4 linked regions of the Xenopus tropicalis genome follow. The protein of the gene in region 1 purifies or fractionates together with the protein of each later gene. This does not show direct contact. Links are inferred from orthologs where the notes say so. Each region holds a gene or a part of one and is shown in the gene's direction. Other genes may lie near its edges. The genes, in order: met, gab1, lgals1.1 and plxnb1.

Evidence for each region.
Region 2: the proteins of met (region 1) and gab1 purify together in Homo sapiens (affinity purification with western blotting; 3 studies listed by BioGRID and IntAct, with this or other methods). This does not show direct contact. The link is inferred for Xenopus tropicalis from reciprocal best matches to the Homo sapiens genes MET and GAB1.
Region 3: the proteins of met (region 1) and lgals1.1 purify together in Homo sapiens (affinity purification with mass spectrometry; 3 studies listed by BioGRID and IntAct, with this or other methods). This does not show direct contact. The link is inferred for Xenopus tropicalis from reciprocal best matches to the Homo sapiens genes MET and LGALS1.
Region 4: the proteins of met (region 1) and plxnb1 purify together in Homo sapiens (co-immunoprecipitation; 3 studies listed by IntAct). This does not show direct contact. The link is inferred for Xenopus tropicalis from reciprocal best matches to the Homo sapiens genes MET and PLXNB1.

Annotation. Positions count from the first base shown.
Region 1 is NC_030679.2:68,199,467-68,205,717, forward strand, and holds part of met (hepatocyte growth factor receptor), read left to right. Parts: intron 1-2,247; 5' UTR 2,248-2,259; coding exon 2,260-3,441; intron 3,442-6,251. UniProt on the Homo sapiens protein: Receptor tyrosine kinase that transduces signals from the extracellular matrix into the cytoplasm by binding to hepatocyte growth factor/HGF ligand. Regulates many physiological processes including proliferation, scattering, morphogenesis and survival.
Region 2 is NC_030677.2:59,282,643-59,288,893, reverse strand, and holds part of gab1 (GRB2-associated-binding protein 1), read left to right. Parts: intron 1-1,040; coding exon 1,041-1,221; intron 1,222-6,251. UniProt on the Homo sapiens protein: Adapter protein that plays a role in intracellular signaling cascades triggered by activated receptor-type kinases. Plays a role in FGFR1 signaling. Probably involved in signaling by the epidermal growth factor receptor (EGFR) and the insulin receptor (INSR).
Region 3 is NC_030680.2:122,665,464-122,670,932, reverse strand, and holds the end of lgals1.1 (galectin-1), read left to right. Parts: intron 1-1,512; coding exon 1,513-1,684; intron 1,685-2,773; coding exon 2,774-2,917; 3' UTR 2,918-3,168; downstream 3,169-5,469. UniProt on the Homo sapiens protein: Lectin that binds beta-galactoside and a wide array of complex carbohydrates. Plays a role in regulating apoptosis, cell proliferation and cell differentiation. Inhibits CD45 protein phosphatase activity and therefore the dephosphorylation of Lyn kinase.
Region 4 is NC_030680.2:139,209,072-139,215,322, reverse strand, and holds part of plxnb1 (plexin-B1), read left to right. Parts: intron 1-181; coding exon 182-359; intron 360-720; coding exon 721-824; intron 825-1,190; coding exon 1,191-1,275; intron 1,276-2,417; coding exon 2,418-2,584; intron 2,585-4,120; coding exon 4,121-4,281; intron 4,282-4,534; coding exon 4,535-4,682; intron 4,683-5,914; coding exon 5,915-5,979; intron 5,980-6,077; coding exon 6,078-6,153; intron 6,154-6,251. UniProt on the Homo sapiens protein: Receptor for SEMA4D. Plays a role in GABAergic synapse development. Mediates SEMA4A- and SEMA4D-dependent inhibitory synapse development. Plays a role in RHOA activation and subsequent changes of the actin cytoskeleton.

The DNA of each region.
Region 1 (6,251 bases):
GTATGTTTCATTTTGCTTGCAAAGATAATGCTTCTTCTTCACTTTCCATGCAGAAGTTAATCAAATAACCCCCGAGGGCTGTTTATCAAAGGACGAGCTGTTATGCAAATGCCACTCTTCCAAGGAAAACATGTTATAAAGCCCCAGGTTACAGATTAAAAAAAAAAGTGCTTGTAGTATGCATATCTTTAGCTGCAATACTTGCCTTGTGTATCATTGAGTTTATAATGACTGTGTGTGCAGCTTTTCATTTGTTTCAGCACATGTTCATTGTCTTTGCAGCCACACCAAAGCAACTGTACATTTACAAAGTTTGAGTTGCTGTTTATATTAAAGATAGTACTACAGGTATGGGACCCATTATCCAGAATGCTCAGGACCTGGAGTTTTCCGGATAAGGGAAGATTATTTAAGAGTGCTTTTCTTCCGAAAAGGATTAATTGCACCTTAGTTGGGATCAAGTACAAGGCACTGTTTTATTATTACAGAGAAAAAGGAAACCATTTTTAAAAATTTGAATTATTTGCTTATAATCGAGTCTATGGGAGATAACCTTCCCATAATTCAGAACTTTCTGAATAATGGGGTTTTCGGATAACGGATCCCATACCTGTACTGCTTTCAATAGCCATTACTTTAGCTTAATTCTAAAACTATTAAACTTTTCCAATTCATGTATATTGGAAAGTTGCTAAGAAATTTATATTTTTTCATCATGCAAGAAACAGTTGTTGGGTGAAGTTCCCTTTTAATGACCTATTTCTCTGTGTTCTGGAACTAACTTTTAAATGGAAAGCTCTACGTAACAGGACCCCCTACCTACTGCATTGATCCGTATCTGTATGTATCTTGACTTGTACAAGGCCACAGTTACAGGTGTGGCAATCCCGACAAACGTTTGAAGCCTAAAGGAGCCTCAAGGGCACAATAAATGTAATTTTTCCATACACTTCCATAACCTTTTCCATACACTGCAAAGTCTGCTTGCCAAAGATCAGGTCACATGAGAAGAATGACAGAAGTAAGATCTCTTACACTTGCCAAAGGGGGTTAAAATGAGCTGCCAATTTCTATTCTATATGACCACCATAAAATGTCTAACCAAGGCTTATTGGCCTTTTCCTTGCCTATCTTTTCACCTAATCTTGTGAAAATATCTGTTGATATTCACTGCTCTAACATCCTTGTACCCTAGAAAAACCAACTGTATTCTCCAATGCCACCATTTCAAATAGTCAGAATTGTGTATTCTTGTTCCAGAGTATTTCCCTACTGTCTGTAGATTGCAGTTCAGTGTTCATGATTGTATTTTCTTATCTTATATAAAAATATAAGAAGAAAAATAGCACATGCTGTACTTTCTGCTGGCTGTGTAGCCAAGAGCAATGACATCAGTCTGATTCTCTTTTCAGATCATTAGATCACCAATCGCCCCAATCCCACCACAGAGACTTGCAGTGACCCCTGAAAGCATTCATGAAAATAAGCTGACAAGCTACCAAGCGATAACATACACAGGCATTTGTCATTATATATGAAAGCATTTCTTTAATAGCAACTGTTGAAAACATATATCTTGTTTTATAATATTTGTAAAAGATAGCAATTATCAAGCATTATTTCTAAACCTTATAGCTTATTTCTTGCTGTAAAATGCCTGGAAGCCAGTGTGGATATGAGCAATCTTTTGTGAATCACAAGGGTTTGCAAAAATCTTTTATCAGTTATTGTTTTCTTGTAAACAACATCTGGTTCATTACTTCTTAAATTTCTAATTGTTGACTTTCTTTGATAAGTTATATTTAGCTCAGTAACAGAAGAGCACAATTAGCAGAGCAAAATAATATATGACTCAGTATATATTTGTGGCAATCAGGCCTGGGTAGCCACAAGTCGTTTACCCTATCCATCACAGGGTCTAAATGTCATGCTACTCGTCATTCTGTACCACATCAAACCCCTCCATTGTTAACCATTATAAAGGAAATGTGCTAGTTAGTAAAGCTGGTCAAGGCACAAAGAAAATTGCATTTTTTCTTTCTTACCTTGGAACCCCATTGTTTCACACTCCATTGAAGCTAAATATACTTATTTTTTAAATGGAGGCTAAAAATGTTTAAGTGGACTACATCTTTTGTTAGTTATTATTGTATTTGAAAGTCAGCTTCATGACTCTGCTGTCTAGACATGAGATAGTCAGGGCTGAGTTTAACTGTTTTAAGCCCTTTTCCTTCTTGTCTTTTTCAGGTACATGCCAAGATGCTCGTGGCTGTTCCTGTTGCTTTTGTGTTCCTAAGCTTGCTGCTGAAATGTATGGGACAATGCGAGGAAGCAGCCAAAATGGCAGAAATGGATTTGAATATAAAGCACAACCTCCAGAGTTTCACTACAGATACACCAATACAAAATATTATCATGTTTAAGGGCTACATATATGTGGGAGCAGTGAATAAGATTTATGTCTTGAATGAAAATCTTACAAAGGTTTCTGAGTATAAAACAGGTCCATTATTGGTACATTCTCATTGTTTGCCATGTAAAAACTGCACGGATAATTTTCTGTCCCCAAATGGCACCTGGAAAGACAACGTTAATATGGCTCTGTTTGTGGAGGATTTCTATGATGACCAGCTCATTAGTTGTGGAAATATACGTAGAGGTGAATGTCAGCGTCATACTTTGCATTCTGATAAACCCTGGGATATAGCAAGTAATGTTCATTGCTTATATTCATCACAAATGATAGAAGATAAAGACAATTGTCCTGACTGCATTGTTAGTACAACAGGAAGCAAGATCCTGGTAACAGTGAGAGACAGGTTTGTAAAGTTTTTTGTGGGTAGCACACTAACAGGACAACCTTCGACGATTCATTCTGTGTCAGTGCGTAGACTGAAGGAGACCCAGGATGGCTTTGAATACCTCACAGATCAGTCATACATAGATGTACTACCCCAGCTCAGAGATATATATCCCATTAAATATATTTATACATTTGAAAGTAACAATTTTGTTTACTTTTTAACTGTACAGCGAGAGTCCATTGACTCTCAGGCCTATCACACTAGAATTGTGAGGGTCTGTTCTTCAGACTCTGAGTTGCGCTCCTATATTGAGATGCCCCTGGAGTGTATTTTTACTGAAAAACGAAGAAAAAGGTCTACCGCTGGTGCAGTTTTTAATATTTTACAAGCAGCATACTTAGGCAGAGCTGGTGAAGATTTGGCAGAAGAGATGGGCGTCAAACCAGATGATGATATACTTTATGCTGTCTTCGCCCAAAGCAAACTTGACTCTTCTGAGGCAAACAACAGGTCAGCTGTCTGTGCTGTGTCTGTGAAAACCATCAATGAATTCTTCAACAACGCTGCAGACAAGCAAAACACCAAGTGTCTTGAGCATTTTTATGAAAAAGACAACAGATTATGCATTAACAACAAGGTGAGTTCCAGAACTTGACCAAATTCATAGCTAACATGTATTAATATTATATTATACTGTATATTGTGGCCCCCAAGTTGTTCAAGAACTCTCACCATCACTAGACCCAGTGTTATTAATATACCTTTATTATTTCAGATGTGGGATTAAATTGATAACCATGATCTGGATAGAAATGCAATTGCAAGCTATGAGAATGAATTAGGTCCCTTTATCAGGCATGGTATAATACAAATACAAACGTGTGTATGTATGTGTGTGACAGTACTCGAGCAGGTACACACCAATAAAACACTGCCCTGGTACTAAAATAAGTCAGCTTAAAAGCAAAAATGTAAATCATTGAGGCAGGGATGAGTCTTGCATATGCAATTGTGCAATATTAAAATGCTGTTAATTACGTTGATATTTTCACAGGCACTTTGACCTTCTGGTCCTGAGAAAAAAAATGTTGACTTGATAAACAGCATTTTGATAATTCACATATACAAAACTATTTAATAGTGCCACTGGGACTGTCCCATTGATATAAGGATCAGTGGAAGTTATTTAAGAACAATATGCATTGTGTTGATTTAATCTGTTTGATGCAATTCGATTTTTGCCTTAAAAAAACAGAACCAGTAGATTCTTCTTGTTGAATAGTTGCTATAGGTTAATACCCCAACTCATTAAGCAAAACTCCTCCATGATAAGGAAATAGTAGTGTGCATTCGAAGAGAAAGCAGGAAGTGAAAGATTAGTGCGACAGGGAAATACTTCCCTCATTTTTCTGGGTAATACAATAGTATGATAGGTCATAAAATGCTGCCTGTTTAGTGTTGTAACCTAGTTCAAGTTATTACAATTTGCTGTATAGTTGCACATTTCCATGCTACAATATTCATAGCATGATGTCACCTCTAACATGACAGAAAATAAAAGATATTATTCAATAAAAAGATCTGAAAACCTTTTCAGAGCCAAAACAAAATCAGGCGATGACAAAACAGTATCATTATGGTCGGCAGCTGCTGACTTTGGGGACAATAATTTATTTACTGACAGATAATGTCTCAAGGGAACACAAGGACAGAAAATTTATAATAAGGATTAACCCTTTCAACTGAGACTGTTCCCTTTCAGAGCACTCCAGCTGTCACATTAATCCAACCTCTTTGTGGTACTGAAGTTACATGTGACATTTCAAGAGTTGACAGAGCATTTGATTAAAGTTACATGATATGAATAGTGTGTCAACTGTGTATCTCTCATCAGTAACAAATTTAATAAGCACATTTTCAACCCTCTCTGTATGTAGAAATTCCACATACACACATACGCACCAATGACTGAAAACAGACGCAGGTTTTCATGGCCATTGAGGTGTTGTATTGTCTGTAGGTGCTGACAGACATCCATTTTAAACGTAATTCCTATTCTCTCCATAAAACATTATTGCAGTTTTAGGTTTTATTGAGCAGAATATTATGGCAGGGTTACTTTCTCTTAAAAACATTTTGCTTTTCTCGAGTGAGATTTGCTTGATTTTTTTAAATCTGATATGACAAATTCCTAGATGCACAAATCAGCAAGGTTGATAAATTCCAGATGGAAGACAGCCAAAAACCAACTGTTGTTGATGTCAGTCATAATATCCAGAGATTACCGTTAAGATAGTTTTTTTTGTTATACTGTGTATTATTTTAAATATATGTAATATTTTTATTTACATTATTTTTTTCAAACACATAATTGCCCTAACACATTCATTGGATGGCACTGTCACTATTAATAATGGATTATACAGACATAATATAATCTATCAATCCATGGAAGGCAGATTGAGACAGTTGTGCCCCAGGGGCTCTTAGCAGAAGATACTGTATGTATGGTTTATCTATTGTCAGTCCCTAAAAGAAGCTCAGTCCCATTGTACCTGCACTAGCTTTATATAGCAAATGAATAGATTATTTCTCCTGGAACACCAAATTTATCATATCATATTAGTGTCAAACATGAACAAACTAAACCAGAAAGGAAAACCCTCAAGTGGAAATACTCTGAAATATGAATCAACGCCACATAGCTAGTTTATTTATTGATGGCTATCAGTCTATACAGTTCTCCTTAGGAGGGGCCATAGTGACATGTTTGACATCTCTAACATCTCATCTTATGATCTAACTGGCTATGTGCCTCTGATTCAATTGTAAAGTAGCCATTTTCTACATAAACACTGTCCATAAAAACATGTAATTCATTTTTTACATTTGTTATAAGTAATAAACATTTCCAGAAAGGTGCAAACACATGGGGCCACTTATTAACTTACTCCCTGGAATGCCAGTCCCAGTAAATAATATAAAACCTTGCTAGTGTCTAGATAGACTGAGGTAAAAATATATTATGGCCATGATTATCTTGTATATGGTATCCTTATAAACAGTGCTTAGTAATATCAACAGCTTTGAATGGGGCTTAATTATGTAGTTTCTTTCACATGATGCACTGAAACTTCTTAATTGTAAAAAATAATCTAATCCCTGTTGTAAAACATTAAAACCTCAAAGATTAATGCTATGTTTAAGAAATGTGCATTATTCCCTTAAAGCTTGGGTCATCTTTCTGCCACTACTGCTCTCTTACTAGACTTACTTACTATAGCGCATTTTGCACCTGTTATTAAATCATCACCAAGGTGTTTTCATACTGGCCACAAGGCATAGAAGGGAAGTTAGCACTGGATCACTGGTATTGGGGCAGCAGCCCTATGATTTTAAGTGAGATAAAGCTCAACAAAGAAATAGTCATGTTATACCATAGGGCTC
Region 2 (6,251 bases), on another chromosome or scaffold:
ACTTATTGACTCGAGTATAAGCCTAGGGTGGGAAATGTGCAGTTATTCTCGAGTATATACAGTACATAAAATCTTATTTTCACACAAGATTGCATAGCAATAGTGTAAAAAATTGTATAGTCTACCCCCCCACGCAGGAATCATACACTACACTGAGTAGTATCAATGGAGGGTACAACAACTGAACACAATAATAAACTCAATCAAATACCACTCTGTAAGTAAAAGATGCACAACTTTATTTCAGTCCATTAAAACGCAACACTAACCCCATATATATTATTTTTAAAAATAATTGTTATTAAAAGCAAAATATATATGTTCTTATCTGTTTATGTACAATCACATCTGGTTCTGATTATCAAAAATATGTGTTCTCCAGGCCATTATGCCAACTTCCACAATCACCACTACCCATCCTCTGCATACCTCTTAATCAGCTGCCTTCTGCTTCATTTAGTTTTCAGAATTAGCAGTGCTAAGAACAAAATAAGTCAGAGCCAGTGAGTACTTCTGCATAAGTATTTCTCCTTCCCGAGCGCAGCCCTGCCATGCATCGCCAGAACGCACATTCAGCACGTGTAGGGCACGATGTGTGCCGTCCGGCGCGATCTGGCGATGCATGGCAGGGCTGTGCTCGGGAAGGAGAAATACTTATGCAGTAAGGGGGGGGGGGCGCACGGCCGGGAGAACGTAACTACCGTATATACTCTAGTATAAGCCGAGGGTGCCTTTTTGAGCACATTATTAGTGCTCAAAAACTCGGCTTATACTCGAGTATATACAGTATAATTTTTTTTTTTTTTTTTTTACGAAAACAATAGCATTTCACAGTTAAGGATGCACCAAACCCAATTTTTTTGGGTTCAGCTGAACCCCCGAATCCATCTTAATGGATGCGGGCCAATACTGAACCGAATCCTAATTAGCATATGCTAATTAGGATTTGAAAGGGCATAACTATATGACTTTTTTTTTTTGCTTGTTGTTTGTGTAGTAAAATATAATTTGCCTTTTTTTTTTTTTTTTTACAATTGCAGATGTTGTAAAACCTGCTGTTAATTCAGAACCTTCCAACCAAGCAGCATTGGTCCAAGGCCCTCTACCTCCCCCTTACCAGCTTATAAATATGCCACTTGTGGAATCCTCAAATAGCCAAGAAGATCCCCAGGACTATCTTTTACTAATAAACTGCCAAAGCAAGAAACCTGAACCATTGAGGTAAGCATTTTTACTTTTGCTGTAAAAAAACAAATAATTCCTTTTCTAGTGCAAAGGAATTTTTTAATACTTTCTTCATTTAGAGTACCGTATTTTTCGGACCATAAGACGCACTTTTTTTCCCCCAGAAGTGGCGGGAAAAAGTCCCTGCGTCTTATGGTCCGAATATACTTTAAAAAAATGTTTTTACTTGCCCGTGTGGTCTCCGTGCAGGGCCCTCCTCTATTCACCGACGCTTAGCTGTGGCGCTGTGCGCATGCACAATGACGCGCATGCCCATACGCATGCGCGTCATTGTGCATGCGCACCGCGCCACAGCTAAGCGCCGGTGAATAGAGGAGGGCCCTGCACGGAGACCACACGGGCAAGTAAAAACATTTTCTTAAAGTATATCTGTAGGCTATATGCTGGTACAGATGGGGGCAATATGTTGGGTGCTGCTGGTACAGGTGGGGGGCAATATGTTGGGTGCTGCTGGTACAGGTTCGCTTTTAATGCACATAAAATATTTTAGGACAGTATTTGTTTCAGAATCTTTTTTTCTTCATTTCCCTTCTCTAAAAACTGGTGCGTCTTATGGTCCGGTGCGTCTTATGGTCCGAAAAATACGGTACTTTTTACTACATTTCCTTCAGTTTTTCAGAATTTTTCTCTCATCATGTTAACTGACATTTTTGAGGAAGCGAGTACATAGCATCCTACAACAGAAAATGTGCTTATATGATTAATTATTTTATACACATTCATTCCTTTTTGTTCTATAAGTCTGCACATGGAAGTATATATATATATATATATATATATATATATCTATATCCTTGAGAAAGGTCCTAATAAGGACCGAAACGTTGGTTTTAACAATATATTTAAAATAAAAAATTTTTGATGAAACATTGAAGGGTGTGCTGGCCACAGATGATTATTTTCTATACAGACATAATTTTGGCTATGCACCCCGCAGAATATTGAGCCTTGGAGTGCGGACACCATTTGGATTGATATATATATATATATATACAGTGGAGGAAATAATTATTTGACCCCTCACTGATTTTGTAAGTTTGTCCAAAGAAATGAAAAGTCTCAGAACAGTATCATTTCAATGGTAGGTTTATTTTAACAGTGGCAGATAGCACATCAAAAGGAAAATCGAAAAAATAACTTTAAATAAAAGATAGCAACTGATTTGCATTTCATTGAGTGAAATAAGTTTTTGAACCCTCTAACAAAAAAAGACTTAATACTTAGTGGAAAAACCCTTGTTTGCAAGCACAGAGGTCAAACGTTTCTTGTAATTGATGACCAAGTTTGCGCACATTTTAGGAGGAATGTTGGTCCACTCCTCTTTGCAGATCATCTCTAAATCCCTAAGGTTTCGAGGCTGTCTCTGTGCAACTCTGAGCTTGAGCTCCCTCCATAGGTTTTCTATTGGATTGAGGTCCGGAGACTGACTAGGCCACTCCATGACCTTAATGTGCTTCTTCTTGAGCCACTCCTTTGTTGCCTTTGCTGTATGTTTTGGGTCATTGTCGTGCTGGAACACCCATCCACGACCCATTTTCAGTTTCCTGGCAGAGGGAAGGAGGTTGTCGTTCAGGATTTCACGATACATGGCTCCGTCCATTTTCCCGTTAATGCGAATAAGTTGTCCTGTGCCCTTAGCAGAAAAACACCCCCAAAGCAAAATGTTTCCACCCCCATGCTTGACGGTGGGGACGGTGTTTTGGGGGTCATAGGCAGCATTTTTCTTCCTCCAAACACAGCGAGTTGAGTTAATGCCAAAGAGCTCTATTTTGGTCTCATCAGACCACAGCACCTTCTCCCAGTCACTCACAGAATCATTCAGGTGTTCATTGGCAAACTTCAGACGGGCCTGCACATGTGCCTTCTTGAGCAGGGGGACCTTGCGAGCCCTGCAGGATTTTAATCCATTGCGGTGTAATGTGTTTCCAATGGTTTTCTTGGTGACTGTGGTCCCTGCTAATTTGAGGTCATTAACTAACTCCTCCCATGTAGTTCTAGGATGCTTTTTCACCTTTCTCAGAATCATTGACACCCCACGAGGTGAGATCTTGCGTGGAGCCCCAGAGCGAGGTCGATTGATGGTCATTTTGTGCTCCTTCCATTTTCAAACAATCGCACCAACAGTTGTCACCTTCTCTCCCAGCTTCTTGCTAATGGTTTTGTAGCCCATTCCAGCCTTGTGCAGGTCTACAATTTTGTCTCTGACATCCTTGGACAGCTCTTTGGTCTTTCCCATGTTGGAGAGTTTGGAGTCTGCTTGATTGATTGATTCTGTGGACAGGTGTCTTTTATACAGGTGACTAGTTAAGACAGGTGTCCTTAATGAGGTTGACTAATTGAGTAGAAGTGTCTAACCACTCTGTGGGAGCCAGAACTCTTAATGGTTGGTAGGGGTTCAAAAACTTATTTCACTCAATGAAATGCAAATCAGTTGCTATCTTTTATTTAAAGTTATTTTTTCGATTTTCCTGTTGATGTGCTATCTGCCACTGTTAAAATAAACCTACCATTGAAATGATACTGTTCTGAGACTTTTCATTTCTTTGTCATTGGACAAACTTACAAAATCAGTGAGGGGTCAAATAATTATTTCCTCCACTGTGTGTATGTATATATATATATATATATTATATATATATATGTGTATGTATATATGTGTATATAATATATATATATATATATATATATATATATATATATATATATATATATATATATATATATATATATATATATATATATACATGCATGTTGGTGTTAGGTAGCATGTTTTCTATAATAAATACAGCGGATGCACCATTCTGTAAGGCTTCTGTAAGCATTATGACCATATAAAATGTCTTGTGCTTTTATAAAGTCACAGAACTCAGACGTGACTTCTAATGTCCTTAATATGAAATATATTTTCTTGATTATCTATGTGTAACATTATCAAAATATTGTTAAATGGTGTCACTCCTGTATAGTGCAGAAACTCTTTCACCAACTCTTTTCATCACTCTGCCATCTCTTCAGACATGTGGTCCCTGTCAGTTGCTATATTTTTGTTTATTTCAATAGAATAGCCACAATAGTGCAAGCTAGAACGCTATATTTATTCTGTAGAATGCTTTTTAATACCTGAGTAAACAACCTTACAAACTCTCTCTGTGTAAAATAGCAGCTGCAATTTTAGCTTGGTCTGACATCACTTCCTTGCTTGCATGTCTGTGCTCTGGGCTCAGATTACAGCAGGGAGGGGAGAAAGGAGAGAGGAGCAAGCTGTGCATGCCCAAGCCCTGGAGGTTTGAACTGAGAGAAGGAAGTCTAATACAGAGAACTATATGTATATAATAGAAGGCAAGAAATGCAGAGCAGCAATACTGTGTGTATTTATATAGACCATAGCTTACTTAGTTTTAACCTTTCCTTCTCTTTTAATGTTCTGCACAGAATGTAATCTAAGTTTCTCTAGTTTCAGAGAGGCAACATTTTGAATGTAGTTTCTTCCTGACCTGATGAGTTTGAAAGCTATAACCAAAATAGTCATTAAACATATAGCTTTCCCCATTCTCTCAAAATCCAGGGTTCGGGACCAAGCAAAACAGTAGGTATACTTGCATGCCAAGAAATACAAAGTTAGGTATTTTTTTACTTTTCATGGAGATGAAACAAAAGGGCATATAACAGCATGCCATCAAGAACATTGGAAGACTTACTTTATATTTAATTTATTAAATTAGTAAAACTACGGCATACTAAAAATAATAGGAATACATTGTTAGATTCCCTATCATAAAGCACAAAGGGATTTCTGCTGTTTGCCAGAAAGAAAATCCAACTAGGCATGGGAACACCAGAAATGGATTGCCCTATGCAGGCAATGGAACACAGTGCATTGGGTTTCAAAACCAAAAAAATCCTACTGATTTGTTATGTCAGAAATTTCATGTTCACAATCTTTGTTACTGTAATTTATATCTGCAAATCAGGCAAGGGGCCTCATCTTTAATATCAGAAGATGACTATCTACTGCTTGAAGATTTTGAAAGCAAAAAGATCTCATGGCAGTGAGTGTATAGTGGCCAGTCTATCAGCCAAGATAGTGCTGGACTTTGCATGGTCTGTGAGTGTGTATTTGTGCGTTATTAATTAAAACTTATATCTGAATGTCTTGACTCGTCTTGACTAATTTCAAGTGAGATTTGTAGTGTTTTGTCCTCACATTCTGAAAGCTTTGTAAGTGGAGTATACCAATCAGATGTTGATCTGTTGGTCACGAATAGTTAAACTTACAATTAAAATGATTAAATCGCTTTAACTTTTTGAGTGTTCCTCATATCACTTTCATATATGAACAGTTGATGTCTTGCCAGTTCTCCAGGGAACATGGTGCACCACCATAAAATATATCAAATGAGCGTGCAGGTCAGAATGTGTACAGATAATGGTTTTGAAGGGGCGTCATATCATTCATTTAATGAATAGGGCTTGTATTGAACACACTTTTTTTTTTTTACCTTATGTTTTAAATATAGAATATGCTGGGGTTAAATTAAGTTGTTGTCATGGGTTCAACTGCTAAGGATAAGTTGAACAGTGACAAATACCCAGCAATCTCTGCTGGGTATTTGGAGAGAACTGGTGAGTACCTCTTAACCGTGATTCAATTTCTCAGAGCAACTTAGGGTAGTCCTACCTTGATCCAATATTATACACCAAAGTAAAGCTACAGGTATGGCCATTCAATCAGAATATAGGCTTTTAGCTCAACAGCATTACTCAATATGAGTACAAGAAATTGTATGCTCTTAAAATGTTTAGTATTGTCTTTTGACTGGCAGTTAAGTTTAAGCAGATTCTAGGTTAAAGTTATTTTCTCATATTATATTTAATTGTTTGCATTTCACTTTTATATCCACACCTTTTGCATGGATTGTGTTTTTTACAGGCTTGTGTTTTGTTTCTATTGAAATGACCACTAATTAAAGGCTAAGCGATTTCTGGGAGAAGCATTCTTAAAGTGT
Region 3 (5,469 bases), on another chromosome or scaffold:
AGGCAGAGTATGGCACACACAGGCAGAGTATGGCACACACAGGCCAAGTATGGCACAAACCAGCCAAGAATGGCAAACACAGTGAAAGTATGGCACACGCAGGCAGGGTAGGGAAGGCAGAGTATGGAACACACAGGCAGGGTAGGGCAGGCAGAGTATGGCACACACAGGCCAAGTATGGCACAAACCAGCCAAGTATGGCACACAGGCAGGCAGAGTATGGCAGGTTTTTGCTGTACTAAAACCATTAATGGGTATGGGTATGGTCATGTGATAACATGGGTGTGGTTTCAAGTGGGTGCAGTTTCAAAAAGGGGAGTGGTAAAAACTGGCTTCCATTATCGGCCCTCCACCACGCAGGTCAGAAAAATTCCGGCCCTCGGTACAACAGAAGTTGGACAGCACTGCCCTAGACCAAACCATGCCAGAGAAAAGCTCTTGTTCCCCATCCATCAAAATTGTATTTTAGCAGTTAGTGTTCCAACTATGCATATGCAGTTTTAGTAGGGGTGTCTGGATTCTTTTGGTTAAAAATGTATAAGGGAAAATAAATTGAATGATTATAAATGTTATGCTTAGGCTTTTGCAGTCTGTCTTCCTCTACACTGATCTCTCATTTAGTCTTGTTCTGTATGCAAGGAAATGGTCACACAAGTAAGGGAGCTTAATATCAATATACAGTGCATAGTCTGTGTGCTTTACCTCACTCCTAAACAGAAGGCGCTCGTTAATTAGATCAACAATGATTAAATAATGTTCCTAGTACTAATGAGAAAGAACAATGTTCTACCAGCCCTCTGTATAGTGATAGCCAAATGACTAAAGCTACTGTGAGAATGCCATGAGACTAGTGCACGAGTTGGAAGGGAGGGGGAATAGTGGGTCAGTGTTTCAATTGGTTCTTTTATTTGTAAAAGATCATAGGTTAGAGTCTCATTTCATTTTAAATGTTTGTCTGCATATCTGCAGAGAGGAATGTGCAGTTAGCCGTTTCTAATGCATAAATAAGATAAACATTTAAAGGGGACCTGTCACCCTAATAAATAATTCCAAATTGTTTTCTATTGTGTTTGTCAAGAAAAATCAACTTTATTCACACCATATAAATTATTTAAATCTTGTTTCCTTCAATCCTGGAATTCACAATCACAGCAAGTAGGCAGGTGCCATTTTGGACATTTTGTTATGAAGATAAGCTTTTCATCATGCCAAAATCTTGTGCCAAAATGGGGGACCTGATGCCCATGCACTGGCTACACAATGCACGTATGCCTAGCCCTATATATATATACATAGTGCTGATAGTAGGGGATACTAATAAGTTTTAACAAGATTCTGTTTTAACAATGGCCTGTCTCCTAGAGCAAATAACAGGACATGGTCTAGATTACATGAGCTCCTGCTGGGCCTTGTAAAGGCACCTAATTACTGTACTGTTTAACACTAATTATTGTACTCAATACCGTTGGTTGTACAATACTTTCTGACATGTATTTTGTTTACTTTTTCAAGCTTTGCAATAAACCTGGGAAAAGATAGTTCAAACTATGTCCTTCACTTTAATCCTCGATTTGACCACCAAGGCGACAACAAGAAAATCATCTGCAACTCAAAGGAAGAAAACTGCTGGGGGAAAGAGCAGAGGGAGACTGCTTTCCCATTCCAACAAGGAGCAGAGACATCGGTAAGCATGAGCATATGATGGTCACATGATTAATGAATATTTCTGTAAAATGGTAGGATTGGCCTCCAATCAAGGCTGTTGGAGTTCAAAATAAAAGTCCAGAATGAAATATGCTATTTGCTGGACACTCTTTGGGATGTGATGCACCCAGGTGGTTCAGAAACCTGTATAAAACACATTTGTTATATGAACTGATCATGTGACTGGTGGATTAAGTGAATGGATTGAGGCCACATTTATGGTGAATAGAATCAGGTTATTCTGAGCATATACAAAATGTGAGAGTGATCCCGTGTCCTGACTATTTTGGACGAGGTGAATGATTCTTTCCTAAATGCAAATGATATATAGCTATCTCTTCCAGAGGGCACCCCTATTAATAGTGTCTTTTTATAATAGAGGGATGAGGGGAGCCAGGTTGAGTGTATTTCTAGTGTAGAATTAGGATGAGCATACTTTATTTCCACTATGTGGGGAATACAAGAGGACATTTACAATGCATAGCCCTTATTTGGCACCTCCAGGTACCTTTTTTATGCTTGTGGTGCTCCCCAACTCTTTTTACATTTGAATGTGGCTCACGGGTTAAAAAGGTTGGGGATCCCTGTTCTAGATACTCCTGAAACCTCAGCCTGGGCTCCCTTTACAGTGAGTTTTGGGATGAACATTTCTTTTATGTTTTAGATATTTGTATCCATCATAATTTTTCATATATATGCAACCTTGTTAGCTAAGGGGGTCCATCCAAATGTTAGACCTTAAACGAGGAAATAAATCCAAAAACGCAAAAAAACACTGCTCTAAGATCTGGTAATATAGCAGCATGAGCGTGTGAAGCATAAGCAAGTAGTTAGAATCAGGGAGAGCCACTGGAATAGCTGTGTAAGGGCCAGAGTAGCACAGGGACTGAGCATTGAGAACATCCCAGTGCTCCTTGTTAAAAGGTTTAACAGCATGAGGAAGAGTATGACAAGATTTGATGATGGATTTATAGTCAGACAAGTTATCCGGCACTGTCTTTCTGAATTAAGTCAGCATATTTGTCTTTATTTGTGTGACTTACAGCAATCATTATCTCTATTTTGACAGATTTGTTTTGAGTATCAAGCAGATCATTTAAAGGTGAAGTTATCCGATGGCCAAGAATTCACCTTCCCCATCCGAATGCCCTTGGATACCATTACATTCCTCTGTATGGATGGAATAGAGCTCAAGTCTTTTTCGCTTCATTAACAGCTCTGCGGCCTCCACAGTCAATAGAAGCCACTAGGCCACATATATAACATGTCATACAGGAAATGTTCTTCGACCCATAATGCACTGTCACTGACAAGCTGTGGGGAGGACTATATAGTTCCTAGTTAGAAAATTTTCTTTCACAAAAGCTACTAAAGCTTTATGTTATCTTATGCAATATATCCTTAGCAGATCTCTCTGTACTTACTATAAACATGAAGTAATAAATCTTTGTTTCATTTATTGTCTGTGCTTGCTCTTGTCTCTTGCTAGTGTTTTCTAAACTCTCCAGGACTGACTATATGCTAAGGTTACCCAATCATGTGAAATACCTGGGACACCTCTAGATATTTCAACTAAAGGGGCTACACTGATTGTTTTTATTTTTAGGCAATTGGTTTGCAATCAGTGCAGCACAGAAAGAGCCTACATTCATTTGTCCCTGGTTTGGTAGTGTCATGATATTTTTCTCACTTAGCACCCTACTGCTCGCTGAGCACCCACAGGCACAGATCTTTGCACTTCAGAATGGAGTGCAAGGACCTGAGTCTTGCTGATGAATACAATGCTCATGAGTTTGGCAGCACTGTATTCAGGAGGGGTGGCACACTGGTGACCTCTATTCAGCCTCCTAATTGCCCCCTAACATCATACATTCAACTACATCATTCAGACATGTTATGAGGTGAATTTGGATGAATGGTGATAGGGAGCTTGCTGCCTGCCTATTTTGGGTGTTTTTGTGCCCTTAAAGGAGACATATTGGATAAATGGGAAAACCCTAATTTTGTAGGCAATTATGAATAATATACGGTGCTGGTTTCACTTTGGGCTAAACATTAACCCTATCTGTAACAATGGCCCCTTTATTGGAGCTCCCTATAGATCCTATCACTTCTCTGTCCGAGTTTGAAATGGAGAGTGGGCGTGTCCTAATGGTCCCTGCCAGAAGCACAGTAGGAGGGGGAGAGCCAATCACAGCCCTGCACTCCCACAAGCAAAGACAGGCTTCAGTTCCCTATCAGGTCAGCCTAGCTGCTGATTGGTTCCTATCCTACAGTGCAGTGTATGGAGGGCAGGCGGCTCCCCAGCTCATCCAGATAATTCAGCCAGCAGGAAATGGAACTAATGGGCGGGGCTAGTGGGGTTTTGGTGTAATTTCTCAATAAATCAGTCAGAAACACAACATTTTTAAGCACAATCTATATTTAGAGGAGTATAATTCTCTGGTACATTCTTAATTTTTATAGGATATGTCTCCTTTAAGTTATTTAATACATTATTGCAGCAACACCACCCACTGAAACTCTCAATTTCTATGAAACTTTCTGCTGCTAAAGGAGCCTTCATGACTAGGCAGCAGTTAAGGTATTTGTCCTCTACCAGAATTTAAGTTCACTTTGCTATGAGTGGGATCCTATGCTACATTATACATACAGCATGAAACTGCATTTCATTCTAATTTTGAATAATTCAGGCCTTTGCTTAATCACACATGAGGCACACTTGCACTAAATATTTCTTAAGTCTGTCTGGTGTAATTTCTGGTGTTCAGCTTGCAGATTACGTGTGCATTTTTTTAGGGATGCACCGAACCTAGTTTTTTGGGTTCGGCCGAACCCCAGAATCCACCCTGATAGATTCGCCCGAATACCGAACTGAATCCGAATCCTAATTAGTATATGCTAATTAGGATCTGGAAGGGTTAAAAAAAATTCCTTAACATTTAACCCTTCCGAATGCTAATTACCAAATGCTAATTTATGCTAATTTGGATTAGGATTCAGTTTAGCCAGGACCGTGGATTCGGCTGAAACCAAACACTGCCAAAAAAGGTTGAATCCTGGCCGAATACCGAACCGAATCCTGGATTTGGAGCATCCCTAGCATTTTTTTTTTGGTGCTGCAGCTATTGACACAAAGGTTCCCCTGCGTGAATAGGTGCAGCAGTGCCTGATTTGGGAAGGCAGGAAGGGCTGACTGGCACTGAGCGCAATTATACGAAAGTGTGAAGAGCGCATTTTGGCACAAGTAACTGTAATGAAAGTGGTTTACAAAAGGGAAAAGTTAAGGTTGTCCACTGTGCTTGCTGACAGAACTGAGAATCACCAGCAGGGGGAGGTAAAAAACCTTTTTTGTTATGATGACTAAAAAATGCTTATTGGTTTTAGCAAAAAGGCTGAGACTGAGAGCCAAATGCTGAGGCATTAACCCTATCCTATAGATACACAAGTATAAAAAGCATCAGAATATTGTATCACAGTCTCTCTCCATTACAAATCATGCAACATATATTCTCACCCCAAACATCCCTAAAATATTGCAACCTACCTTTCTGCCAGAATCCCCATAATATATTAACACATGCTCTTTCCCAGAACTTATAAGCACAGCATCTCTATCAGCAAAAACTATATTAAATGGCTTCTCTAGCATCTCTCTTTCCTCTTACTGCTTCTGCCTTAACTCACCCTGACCTTACTCCAGCCCCTGGAATGGATCAGCACGGGTACCTCAAAGAAGGATCCGTAACAGAATACCTTTGATAT
Region 4 (6,251 bases), on another chromosome or scaffold:
AAGGGGGTCATTATTTCTATTCCTTTGCATATTTTTGTTTTCATGTATGTTACGTCAGATGATTGGTCTGAGCTTCTAGCTGGTTGGCTCCTATAAGTTGCTAGTTCAGAGTAAAATAGTGAATTTTTCCAGTGGTACGTAGATGACATTTTGGGTGCACTTAAACATTATTCCTTCCCAGACGCTGAATGCAATCATGCAAACCAACACGGGCATCACTTGTGAAGAGGAAGCACAAGGGTTGCCGGTGAAATTGCTCGACTGCGACACCATCACTCAAGTGAAAGAAAAGATCCTTGACCAGATATACAAGGGAACCCCGTACTGTAATCGACCAAACCCCGAAGCGCTAGACTTGGGTAAGTCAGGTTGTCCATAGGGAGGGGAAATCTTTAGTAGTGCTGGAACCCAGGGCAAGACAGACTATGAGTGGCACCGTTATTTATATAAAATAATGCCTTCAGCCTTTGATAGCCGCCCTCTTACAGCCATCAACTTGAAAGCAGAGAGAAATGGTATATCTGGCAGAGCTATGGAGTCAGAGTTGCCAAGTCGGAGTCGGAAGCAATTTTAGGTACCTGGATTTGAAGTCAGAGTCAAAGGATTTATGTACCAACTCCACAGCCCTGATATCGGGAGGGGGATTTGTTTTCCTAGCTGTCCCAACAGTTACCAGCTTATAACCATCCTTACACCCTTTCCTCCCGTTCCCCCTGGCAGAATGGAGATCAGGGTTGGCCGGTCATCTGATACTTTCCGATGAAGATCTGACGTCAGTGGTGCATGGGTCGTGGAAAAGAGTGAACACATTGCAACATTACAAGGTGAGACTTTGCACAGGGAGGTCTTCTGCTTGTAGCACCTAGAACACCTAGAACCTACTGCATTACTGGGACTGTATCCCCCCTAACCAGTGGGTAAGGGATTTATATTTATGTTAGTACATGCATGTTCCCCCTCAGTATCTGAACTGGCAGTTTGAGGGCTAAAAAAAATCCCCTTCCTTAACCTCTCTAAAAGATAAGGTGCATTCTGTTTATATGTAATGATAGGGACCACAGGGGCCAGGGATTCTGTCCAAAACCTGTTACAGAAGTTTGTGATTGGTGCTCAGGATTCTTTACCTATTCCTCATTTTCTATTTGCTATTCCCTAATCAACATATGTAAGTAACTTTCTGCTTCGTGCAGGTTCCAGATGGAGCGACAGTGGCTTTGGTGCCCCGTCTGAGCAAGCACATCCACCCAGAAAACCACGATTACATCCCAGGAGAGAGTAAGTTGGTGGTTTTGTTTTATTGTAGCAGGCTGAAAGGGCTTTTGGCACAGGAAAACATGTTTTGTTTCTAAATGCATCAGTTAATAGTGAATCCTACATTGAAATCTGTTTTTCAAAAGAGCAAACTGGTCACACTTTACTACTGTGCTGCAAGTTAGAGTGATATCCCCCCCCCCCCCTCACCCCCAGCAGCCAATCAGCAGAACAATGGGAAGGGAGCAAGATAGCAGCTCCCAGTAGGTATCAGAATAGCACTCAATAGTAAGAAATCCAAGTCCGGCTTGGGACTCCTCCAGTTACATGGGAGTAGGAGAAACAATAGGTTAGCTGAAAGCAGTTCTAATGTGTAGCCCTGGCTCTTTCTGAAAGCTCAGACTCAGGCACACTTTACTGCTGCGCTGCAAGTTGGAGTGATATCCCCCCCCAGCAGCCGATCAGCAGAACAATGGGAAGGGAGCAAGATAGCAGCTCCCAGTAGGTATCAGAATAGCCCTCAATAGTAAGAAATCCAAGTCCGGCTTGGGACTCCTCCAGTTACATGGGTAGGAGTAGGAGAAACAATGTGTAGCGCAGGCTCCTTCTGAAAGCTCAGACTCAGGCACACTTTACTGTTGCGCTGCAAGTTGGAGTGATATCCCCCTCACCCCCAGCAGCCAATCAGCAGAACAATGGGAAGGGAGCAAGATAGCAGCTCCTAGTAGGTATCAGAATAGCACTCAATAGTAAGAAATCCAAGTCCGGCTTGGGACTCCTCCAGTTACATGGGAGTAGGAGAAACAATAGGTTAGCTGAAAGCAGTTCTAATGTGTAGCCCTGGCTCCTTCTGAAAGCTCAGACTCAGGCACACTTTACTGCTGCGCTGCAAGTTGGAGTGATATCCCCCCCCCCCAGCAGCCGATCAGCAGAACAATGGGAAGGGAGCAAGATAGCAGCTCCCAGTAGGTATCAGAATAGCCCTCAATAGTAAGAAGTCCGGCTTGGGACTCCTCCAGTTACATGGGTAGGAGTAGGAGAAACAATGTGTAGCGCAGGCTCCTTCTGAAAGCTCAGACTCCATATTGTGTCACAGGCAAGGGATAGATTTTGCTGCTTTGAAGAGCAAAGACAAAAGCAAATTTGCTCCCTCTTTTTTCTCTCAGAGACCCCCATGCTGGAAGATTCAGACGAGGGTGGGGTACGGGTTTGGCACCTCGTTAAACCGACAGATGAACCAGAACTTCCGAAACACAGACGGGGAAGTCTACGAGACAGAGAGCGTGCCAAAGCTATTCCCGAAATCTACCTGACTCGCCTGCTCTCAATGAAGGTAAGAGAACGTTTGATGGTTTCATCTGCCTGCGGTCTCATTTATGTGCTCTTTCTCTATGCGCAGTCTGGGGATGTCACGGAAAGTAAGAGGGTTGGTCTGATGTTCTTCTGGTTGGGGAAAACATTAGAAACCTCAGATAATTTTTCCTCACATCTTTCCTAACCAGAAGAACATCAGACCGCCCCTCTCTTTCTCAATTTCCTCAACTGGATCACAGAAACTGACCAGCAGGTGGCACTGTTGTGACAAAATGTATTCATACTAATAGCACTTGTGTCTTAATATTTTGAAATGAAAACAAAAAAATAGAATAATGAATGTAAATGGTTAATGTGCTTTTTGGTGCAGTTGGTCCAAGACGGGATTTGTTTTGCCTCTTTTTATTTTGAACACCTTTAGATGCAACTCCATAGAGGTTACAGTCAGGGCAGTTTAAGGGCTGAGAGGGGTAGCAGAGAAGGTCCGATTGGGGTGAAATAAATAAAGACTGGCTGCAGTATTTTTAATCAATCTAGATGAAAAGGCGATCAACTGGAGGCCTGCAAACAAGGGCTGCCATGATTTTGTGGCATTTTGGGTGATACTTACTAATAATCTGACAGTTTTTAGGAGGAGTTGGGAATATTTTCTTTGACGGGATGAAGGAGATTGCGGAACGAAATATGATGCCCAGGAAGAGAACCCGAGTGCTAAAATGAATGATGGTGTTGATTGCTTAGATTGATAGGCTGGGAGTCTGTATATATTATATATCTGTATAATATGAGGAGGAGGTAGGAAGAACAAGGCCCAGTACATACAGCAGGGAGGAAGTCAAACACTTGAGCCCTCAGGGTCAGGGCATGAGAAACTGATCCAAGAGCTGTCAGGCTACAGCGGGAAACCAAAGCTTCAAGTGATGGGGGTGCTGGATCCTGTTGCTGCAGCAGCTGAACGGCTAGAAGTCCCTACTCGACCCAATCATATAGTAACTGGAGTGGTCGCTCTGATTGGAAGGATTATCACCTTCTAATGTATCAGCCCCAGGTTCTTCCTGGAAGCACATTCTGGAAATGTAACTAAAGTGAGTGCGGAATGATGACTCTGTAGCAATATTTCCATCTGTTTATGATCACTAGAAGCTCTTTTGTTTGGAGTTGCACAGGGAATGCCCAATCCTAGGCAAGCAACGTGGCAGCTCTCTCAGATGTGTAAATTCAGATAGGAAGCGAGGGAATGCTCTGTGCATACTATGCCCTCGTAATCTACTCTGGTTAATGGGGATGAGCATCTAAAAATAACTTTAATGAAGAAATAAAGATAAATAGAACAATGTCCATGATGTACCATAGAGTGAATTTGTTTTGCCAAATGGGGGCTTTAGAAAGTAGGTAGGAATTTGGGTTTCACTTGTTGTCTCTATTTTTGGCCACTATAATGTACTTTGCCATTTGTTGGAGCGCCATCTGCTGGACTGCCCAGGTCCAAACACCGCAAAGTGCCCTCTGGTATCACACATTAATATTTATTTCCATGATTTCTGCTGTTTCTCAGGGGACTCTACAGAAGTTTGTGGACGACCTTTTCCAGGTGATACTCAGCACCAGCCGGCCCGTTCCCCTCGCTGTCAAGTATTTCTTCGATCTATTGGATGAGCAGGCCATCAGCCATGGTATCAACGACCCAGAGACCATCCACATATGGAAAACAAACAGGTAAATGCTACATGGAAGCTTTGGTGCCCCAGAACTGTTCAGCTACAAGATGGCGGCTCCTTGTGGGCTGCAATAGGCAGGTCCCCAGGAACCTCAGCACTGGTCATGTGACCTGTTTACAAGGGGAAAATGGCAGAACAAGCTGGACTCTAGATTCTAATCAGGACTCTTCTAGATCCAGGCACTCAATGCAGTTATATAGGAACCAGTAGATTTGTGTGTAATTCTTATGTGTTGTCTCTTTTGTTTGCAGTTTGCCATTGAGGTTTTGGATCAACATCATCAAAAACCCCCAGTTTGTATGCGACGTGCAGACATCGGACAACGTGGACGCCGTGCTGTCGGTCATTGCACAAACCTTCATGGATTCTTGCACTATCGCTGATCACAAGTTAGGAAGGGTAAGGAGAGAGTTAATTCTGCATAACCAGTTATATTTCAGTTGCGCTCAACTTGGTGCCCCTTGTGCTGTGAGAATAGTACAAAGGACATTGTGCAATGGATATTGTTATACCTTAGGGATGTCCATCCTGCAGCCCTCCAGTAATTCTCTTGGGCTTCACTCTGTCTCATTGACCCAACTAAGGGGCCTCTGGAGGTTTTCTCCAAGTCAATGGCCTGCAAAAGCACTTCATGAAGCAAGAGCTCCCCCTAGTGGCCATGGCTCCTTCACCCTGCTTTTCCAATCCCCAGAAATCAGGCAATCAGGCAATCATTTAGGCCCAAGACCAGTCTATGTGAAAGAGACTAGCCCATGTACAGACAGTTGTTAGACACTAAGGGCAGAGTAGATTCATTTACTTGGGGTGGAGGTTCCAACTGGTGCTGGTGACAAATGGGCCAAGCTTTTCTATTGGCTTATCTGCTTAATCATGGAAATAAAATATGAAAATAACCCAGGCATGGGCACTGCACATTTGTTATTATTATACAGTTGGTAGGGCCCAGAAAGTGAGGCTTGGAGGTTTTTCCTAATGATTCAATTGTTATTTTGATCAGTGTATTACAGTTATGGGACCTGTTATCCAGAATACTCTATACCTTTGGTCAAACAGGGCTGTTCTGCCCCCAATAAGGGGTAATTATATCTTAGTTGGGATCAAGTACAGGTACTGTTTTATTATTACAGAGAAAAGGGAATCATTTAACCATTAAATAAACCCAATAGGGCTGTTCTGCCCCAATAAGGGGTAATTATATCTTAGTTGGGATCAAGTACAGGTACTGTTTTATTATTACAGAGAAAAGGGAATCATTTAACCATTAAATAAACCCAATAGGGCTGTTCTGCCCCAATAAGGGGTAATTATATCTTAGTTGGGATCAAGTACAGGTACTGTTTTATTATTACAGAGAAAAGGGAATCATTTAACCATTAAATAAACCCAATAGGGCTGTTCTGCCCCCAATAAGGGGTAATTATATCTTAGTTGGGATCAAGTACAGAGAGGTACAGAGAAAAGGGAATCATTTTTAAAAATTAGAATTATTTGCTTATAATGGAGTCTATGGGACATGGCTTTCCCATAATTTGAAACTTTCTGGATAATTTGTTTCTGGATAACAGATCCCATACCTGTATACTGAAATACCCATGTAACCAAGTACTGATGACTTTCATTTTTTCCTCTAGGATTCCCCCATAAACAAGTTGCTGTATGCCAGAGACATCCCACGGTACAAGCAGATGGTAGAGAGGTAAGACGGCAGCCAATAATGAATTGCCCCGCTGTAGGGCTTTCTCATGACAAGAAGAGTCACTGATCTGTGTGCGGTTTTTGTTCCTCGCCCTGTAGGTACTATTCGGATATCCGGCAAACCATCTCCGCCAGTGACCAGGAGATGAATTCAGCACTAGCGGAACTTTCCAGGGTGAGTGACAATCTCATTAAACCTGTGTGTAGGGACCGGCCAAGGGGCAGATACAGTCCTACAGTCACAGACTATTTGGGGTCTGATTATCATGTTTA